2 linked regions of the Macaca mulatta genome follow. The protein of the gene in region 1 purifies or fractionates together with the protein of each later gene. This does not show direct contact. Links are inferred from orthologs where the notes say so. Each region holds a gene or a part of one and is shown in the gene's direction. Other genes may lie near its edges.

Evidence for each region. The genes of interacting proteins can lie anywhere in the genome.
Region 2: the proteins of WAS (region 1) and NCK1 purify together in Homo sapiens (affinity purification with western blotting; 4 studies listed by BioGRID and IntAct, with this or other methods). This does not show direct contact. The link is inferred for Macaca mulatta from reciprocal best matches to the Homo sapiens genes WAS and NCK1.

What each region holds. Positions count from the first base shown.
Region 1 is NC_133426.1:48,758,521-48,762,806, forward strand, and holds the start of WAS (actin nucleation-promoting factor WAS), read left to right. Parts: upstream 1-1,486; 5' UTR 1,487-1,542; coding exon 1,543-1,674; intron 1,675-1,971; coding exon 1,972-2,112; intron 2,113-3,238; coding exon 3,239-3,325; intron 3,326-3,426; coding exon 3,427-3,529; intron 3,530-3,642; coding exon 3,643-3,684; intron 3,685-3,777; coding exon 3,778-3,831; intron 3,832-4,286. UniProt on the Homo sapiens protein: Effector protein for Rho-type GTPases that regulates actin filament reorganization via its interaction with the Arp2/3 complex. Important for efficient actin polymerization. Possible regulator of lymphocyte and platelet function.
Region 2 is NC_133407.1:39,960,492-39,963,991, forward strand, and holds the end of NCK1 (SH2/SH3 adapter protein NCK1), read left to right. Parts: coding exon 1-388; intron 389-2,333; coding exon 2,334-2,528; 3' UTR 2,529-3,070; downstream 3,071-3,500. UniProt on the Homo sapiens protein: Adapter protein which associates with tyrosine-phosphorylated growth factor receptors, such as KDR and PDGFRB, or their cellular substrates. Maintains low levels of EIF2S1 phosphorylation by promoting its dephosphorylation by PP1.

The sequences.
Region 1 (4,286 bases):
CATAGCAACAGCTGGGAGCGAAGGCATGGAGGGACGAGAACGTGCACTCACACCCGGCCTGCCTGGCTCGCACTCTGGGCAAAGGGATCAGAACAGTGCCTGGCACACACGTTAAGTGCTATGTGAGTGTTAAGATAAAACTAGGATGTCCAGTGGGGAGAAAGCAAGCCTTTGAAGATTATGTGCTTTTACAAACTTCAAGTGCAATGAAAATTAAACAAGATGTTGTTCAGGCATTCATATATGATATAAAGTTCCTTTTTTTTTTTTAAAGGGATGTGCTGGGCACGGTGGCTTATGCCTGTAATCCCAGCACTTTGGGAGGCCAAGGAGGGCGGATCATGAGGTCAAGAAATCGAGACCATCCTGGCCAACATGGTGAAACCCTGTCTCTACTAAAACTACAAAAAAGTTAGCTGGGCGTGGTGGCGCGGGCCTGTAGTCCCAGTTACTCAGGAGGCTGAGGCAGGAGAATCACTTGAACCTGGGAGGCTGAGGTTGCAGTGAGCTGAGATCGCGCCAGTGCACTCTAGCCTGGCGACAGAGTGAGACTCCATCTCAAAAAAAAAAAAAAAAAAAAAAAAAAGATGAGCAGAAAGTAATTTGGGAGCTGCAGGGAGGCAAGGGTAAGGGATGGGGAAGTGAACCAGAGGCATATGCGTCATTGGCAGTGTCTAAGCACTCAGGATAGGCGTGGATCACAGGGGCTCACTCTGTAATTAAAAGGAAAAGGGTTTTTGTTGTTGTGTTGTTGCTGTTGTTGTTGCTGTTTTTGAGACAAGAGTCTTGCTCTGTCATCATCCAGGCTGGAGTGCAGTGGTGCAATCTCAGCTCACTGCAACCTCCGCTTCCCGGGTTCAAGCGATTCTCCTACCTCAGCCTCCTGAGCAGCTAGGACTACAGGTGCATGCCGCCATGCCTGGCTCATTTTTGTATTTTTTAGTGGAAATGGGGTTTTGCCATGTTGCCCAGACTGGTCTCGAACTCCTGACCTCAAGTGATCCGCTCGCCTTGGCCTCCCAAAGTGCTGGGATTACAGGTGTGAGCTACTGTCCCCAGCGAAAAGGAAAAGTTTTAGTGTAGTAACCCTTCAGGACTAGGGGCCTTGGGCTTCAGCCTCAGGCTACCTGGGTGCTTTAGGAAGGAGGCCACCCAGGCCCATGACTACTCCTTGCCACAGGGTGCCCTGCACACAGATGTGCTGCCAATGGCTAAGCTCTCACTGCCAGCCAGAGGGAAGAGGGTCTGAGCCAGTCAGAAGGAGATGGGCCTCAGACAGTAAGAAAGGAGGAGGAGGACCCAAGCTGATCCAAAAGATGGGTCTAAGCAGTCAAGTGGAGGAGGGTTCCAATCTGATGGTAGAGGGCCCAAGCTCGGCCTAACGAGGAGGAGGCCAGGCCCACCAAGGGGCCCCTGGAGGACTTGTTTCCCTTGTCCCTTGTGGTTTTTTGCACTTCCTGTTCCCTTGCTGCTCACTGCGGAAGTTCCTCTTCTTACCCTGCACCCAGAGCCTCGCCAGAGAAGACGAGGGCAGAAAGCACCATGAGTGGGGGCCCAATGGGAGGAAGGCCTGGGGGCCGGGGAGCACCAGCGGTTCAACAGAACATACCCTCCACCCTCCTCCAGGACCACGAGAACCAGCGACTCTTCGAGATGCTTGGACGAAAATGCTTGGTGAGCTGGGGATCTCCTGCCCCCGCCCCGTCCCCACCATTTCTTCCTCTTCCTCTCCTCCTTCTCTCTCTTCCCCTCCTCCCGCTCCTCCTTTCCCTCTCCATCATCTTCTCTCCTAGACTCTCCTGTTATCATCCACCCTCCCCAGGAAGATCTCAATGTCTACTTGCCTTCCCTCTGGCTGCAGCTCTTCCTTCGGGCCCATGACTGTCATGAGGCAGGAAGGACCAGGTCTGGCTCCAAGACCTTGTGGCTACCCCTGACCAGACTCCACTGACCCCTGCTTTCCCCTCCCAGACGCTGGCCACTGCAGTTGTTCAGCTGTACCTGGCACTGCCCCCTGGAGCTGAGCACTGGACCAAGGAGCATTGTGGGGCTGTGTGCTTCGTGAAGGATAACCCCCAGAAGTCCTACTTCATTCGCCTTTACGGCCTTCAGGTGACCCCCCCCCCGCCCCTGACTGGACTTGCAAGCCAGTTCTCAACCCGCAAACCCAGATCTGTGTCCATATGTGTCCACAGTCCCAAGACCTCAGACCTGATCAGTGAATCCCTGAGCCCCAGAACCAAAGACTCATCCAGATGGCAAACTCTGGCTTGCCTTTCTAAGTCTGCAATGGCTGGCCCCAGTCTCCATATCAAGATCTCTAAAGCCCCCAGTATTAGTCTGCTGCCTAAGCCTAATCTTTTCCACAAATTCCAATAAATGAGCACTGTATTTGTACCTGAACCTCAAATCTATTCTAAACTCAACATTTTGCATCCCAGGAATCTCTCATCAAAACTCCTGAACCCCAGATGTTTGCCAAGCTCCTAAGTCATAAATCTGTTCAACAAACCCCAAAGTTGAATATTCCATTGATCCTTGAACTCCAATTCTGTCCTTTTAAATCCACAGCACAGACCCCAGAATTCCCATATTAAAATTCCTGAACACTCAAATACCGAGGTGGTTCTTAAGCAAAAAGTCTTTTCCACAATTCCCCGACCTGAACTTTCTAGGTTTAAGCCCCAAATTCATCCTTCTAAACCCATAAAGATGGACCCAGCATAACTTCCAGATCCCAAGACTGTCAAATATTCACCAAACTCCTAAGTCATAACTCTTCTCCACAAACCCCAAATTGCACTTACTTTAGCTGGACCCTCCGCAAAACTCCCAAGTCTACGTGTCTGAACTTCAAATCTCATCTCCAACTCCCAAATACTAGAATCCTACCTGTCATGAATTGGGGCTGGGGTGGCAGGGGAGGGCATGGATTGAATCTATGAATGAGCCTCAACTTCCTAAGACTAGAGTCCTAAATTATGAAATTCAAGCTCCCAAGTCCCACATCTAGGGCCCCGAACCCCAAATCCAAACCTCTCACAAAAGTGTATGGCTCCCAGACTATACTCCACATCCACACCCTTAGATCTCAGCTCTCTGGTGCTGAGCTGGAAATCTCCAAACCAGACCATGAGGCCCCCAAATCCAGACACCCTGCTCCCTGCCCAGCTAACAAAGGCCTGCCACCCCTGGTGTGCCTCAGTGCCACTGTGCCTCCCACCCTACACCTCTCCAGGCTGGTCGGCTGCTCTGGGAACAGGAGCTGTACTCACAGCTTGTCTACTCCACCCCCACCCCCTTCTTCCACACCTTCGCTGGAGATGTAAGTGACCAACCAGCCCTCGGGCCTCACTTGGGGTGTGGAGAGGAGATGGGAAAGCTGTGGGGGGACCTGGGAGGCGGCTGACCCCAAGATATGTGCAGGACTGCCAAGCGGGGCTGAACTTTGCAGACGAGGGCGAGGCCCAGGCCTTCCGGGCCCTGGTGCAGGAGAAGATACAAAAAAGGAATCAGAGGCAAAGTGGAGGTGAGGAGGCCGCAGGGGAGGAAAGGAAGTTGGGCAGAGGTGAGTGCAAGCATGGGGAACTAGAAAAGTTATCTCTCATGGTCCTGGCTCCCAATCCATCTGTCTATCCACAGACAGACGCCAGCTACTCCCACCACCACCACCAGCCAATGAAGGTGAGAACTCTAGTGCAAGTAGCGGTAATAAGGGGCTAGCCCAGGAACCTGTGGCAGGGTTGTGATAGCTCTCTACACATTCTATCTTCCCAGAGAGAAGAGGAGGGCTTCCACCCCTGCCCCCGCACCCAGGTGGAGACCAAGGAGGTGCGTGCTGATTCTTCCCTGTGTCTCTGGATGGATGGGTGGGTAGGTGGAAGAGTGAATGGAGGAATGAGCAGTTGGATGGGTGCGTAAGTGGGTGAATGTATGGGTAGATGGATGGGTATGTGGATGGACGAGCGGGTGCATGGATGTGTGGATCGATGGATGGGTGGATGGATTGGTGGTAGATGGCTGAGTGGAGGGATGAGTTGATGGGAGGATAAAACTCTAAGTAGATAGATGCATAGGTGAATGGGTATGTGGATAAATGAATGAAAAGGTAGATGGATGACTGAGTAAATTAGTGAATGAGTGAATGAATGAACAGTGAATAAACGGCTAAATGACAAATTTCAGTCAGTGAAGAAAGCATGATTGAATGAATACAAGAGTAAATGAAAATTTTAACAAATCCATTAGTCAATGAGCCAGTGAATGATAAAGCATGAGGGAATGAA
Region 2 (3,500 bases), on another chromosome or scaffold:
TAACCTAAATACCGGGCAAGTGTTGCATGTGGTACAGGCTCTTTACCCATTCAGCTCATCTAACGATGAAGAACTTAATTTCGAGAAAGGAGATGTAATGGATGTTATTGAAAAACCTGAAAATGACCCAGAATGGTGGAAATGCAGGAAGATCAATGGTATGGTTGGTCTAGTACCAAAAAACTATGTTACCGTTATGCAGAATAATCCATTAACCTCAGGTTTGGAGCCATCACCTCCACAGTGTGATTACATTAGGCCTTCACTCACGGGAAAGTTTGCTGGCAATCCTTGGTATTATGGCAAAGTCACCAGGCATCAAGCAGAAATGGCATTAAACGAAAGAGGACACGAAGGGGATTTCCTCATTCGAGATAGTGAATCTTCGGTAAGTTGATTTTCAGATGTAAATACAAATAGAGCTCTATGTATTAAAAAGAAAAAGAGAAATGGAGAGGTTAAGTGGCTTCCCTAAAGTTAACCAGGTAACAAGCTGGGACATAACATAAGCATAAATGTTCCAAAGCTAAAGTCAGCATTCTTTCTAGCTATCTATTTTCAATGAAAAGAGAGTTGTGGCAGTGATGCTACATGCTGAGTTATTTGGTCTTTTCTAGTTCTGTTGATTTTGCATTCCTGATATATTTTCTGTTGCATTAAACTAAATGGAGAAAATGGAACATTGACTTCTTCATTGAATGTAGAATAATACTGTAGATTAAATTGGGAAACATTTTAAAAATTGCTATTGGATACAATGTGTAAGAAGATAGTCACTGTAGTCCTTATGACATAGGAAATCCCTGAATTTAAAAAATTGATACTAAGTTTCTTCATAAATTGGTTACCTGGAAATTGGAATACACTTTTTATTGTAATCTCAAAAAACCTATTTTAACACTGTGTTTGAAATGCATTTGCAATAAAAGGTAAATTATATTGCAATACTAGTAAACAATAAAACTATAAAACCATAAAAGTTGAAAAATAGTATGGTTTCATGGTCTCTTAGATACTGTTTAGGATATTAGAATTTGATGACACTCATTTTCCTTAAAAATGCCCTTTTCCTTGATAAAAGATATCATTACTTTTCCATTTATTAAATCATGATTAATCTTGGCTTTGCGTGAGTATATTTGTACAAAAGGGAATGTGTAATTGCACAAAATTTTGAAAGAAAATGTGTGGAAGTGGGGTGTGGTGGGGAGAGAGATTAATTGAACTTCTAATATGAAGTTCAGGAAAATGGGGCCTGTGCCTAATCCCTCAGAAAAGCAGTTGGTTGGCAGTAGGGAAGAGTGATGACATCCATTTTCTGTTAGTTGCCTGATCTGGCTCACTGTTTGAAACTTTGGGAGTAACTGTAGAAAAAGAGGCTTTTGGGGGTTGATATAGACTGTAACAACAACAACAACAACAAAAAACCTAATTAAAAAGAAAATAGCTTGAATGCAGAATTGTGTGTATTTTCTTGTGGGTAATTGAGCATAAATATAAGACAAAATACAATATATACCATTATTTTTAGCAGTATACTTTTTAAGGTTAGGTCTCAAGTAGGCATATTTTGTTTAGCCTTCACAGTGTTTTTTAAACGTTTAAATTCATTGCCCATATTTAAATATTAGGATATTTATTGTAAAAATTCAGACTTTGGACCATTTAAAATTGAAAGAACTACCAACATTGAGACCCTATTCCTGCGGGGCAACAATCACAGCTGAGAAGTCACCACTTCTTTAGATTGGTGATACACTGTCATTTTCTCTGCCCATCTACCCTTCCACTCTGACACTTGTTTACGTTATTCTTTTGGCTCTTGTAGGCATTTGAGTTTGTGGCCTTTCCTTAAAGTTTAGATTAATTCTCATTTGTGTGTTCTTCATTTTTGGGAATTCAGCGTGTTATCCCTAAGACAGCTACTGTTAGCTACACATTGAAAAGGGGTTGGGTGGGTATCTTAGACTTTCTCATGTGTTTCTCTGACTGGAGAGAAGATAGCTCTTGTTCTTCAAATATGTAAGGGATTTGCTGTGGGTGTCTACTGGTGGAGCTGTGGGTGTTAAGAGACTTTTGATTACACAGGTTTGAATCCTGGCTCTGTTGTTAACTAGATGGATGATACTGGCCAATTTATTAATAGCTTCCCTGAGACTCAGTTTTCACATCTGTAAAAAGGGTTTTGTTTTAGGGAGTAAAGGAGATAAATCTATGTAAATAATTTACCATGGTACCTAGGACTTAGTGCTTAAATTTTAGCTTTTAGTTTAATATAAAAATACTGATAGAGGGCTTTCAAAATGTTTACTGTATTTTTTTTTCTCTTTTAGCCAAATGATTTCTCAGTATCACTAAAAGCACAAGGGAAAAACAAGCATTTTAAAGTCCAACTAAAAGAGACTGTCTACTGCATTGGGCAGCGTAAATTCAGCACCATGGAAGAACTTGTAGAACATTACAAAAAGGCACCAATTTTTACAAGTGAACAAGGAGAAAAATTATATCTTGTCAAGCATTTATCATGATACTGCTGACCAGAAGTGACTGCTGCATAGCTGTAATTTGTCATGTAATTGAAGACTGAGAAAATGTTGGGTCCATCGTGCTTGATTGGAAATGGCTGTTTCTAAACCTTTATGAGAATTGACAATAAGTATTTTTATTATAATTCAGCCCATACATATATACTATGTATGCAGTGCATCTGCATAGAACAGTTCCTTATCCTTGGCCTTCTGTTTTATTGTTTTTTTTCTTTGCTGTTTTCCCTTTGCTTCTAATATTACAGTTTTGTATTTTGAAAAAAAAAATCAAATAATGCTTATCAGAATCTTTATATGGAAGAAATCCTTTATTGCCTATCCTTTGTTTCCTTGTAAAGGCGCCCTGTTCTGTTATGGTTTTTCATTATATAAAATTATTATATCTATATATGACATATGCTAAAATAAATTTCTTGGAGAGTGTTAATCTTTTCTGTGACTAAATAGCAATAATAAATGAAAAATTAGAAATTATTTCCAGGTATTATATTTGTCACAGGCCATTGTAAATACCAAGTATATTGTGTCTGCCTTAATTTTAAAAAATGCATTCATTGTCTTCAGTCGTACAGAAAGACACATGAGACATAGATTAGAAAACATGTTGTACAATTTTAATTTACAACTGTTGGAAACAAAAATCACTTTCTTAATTTTTTTTCCAGTGCTTCTCCCTTATCTGGTTATTCAAGAAAGCCAAATTGTCTCTGAGATATTTAGCTTTTCAAACTATAAATAGATGCTCTAGTGTTATTTATTTTTTTTAATCCCACTTATTTTACCAGGGCATCTTGTATTAGGATATGTTATATTTATGCCAGTGGGAAACAAGTTATGGCCAAGTTTTGCAAAAATAGGAAGCAGTGAGATACTTGGTTTTTTCTCCTCACTAAATATCAGTAATTATCAGGAATGGTATTACCTATTTTCATTTCCTCTTTTCAGCTTTAAATT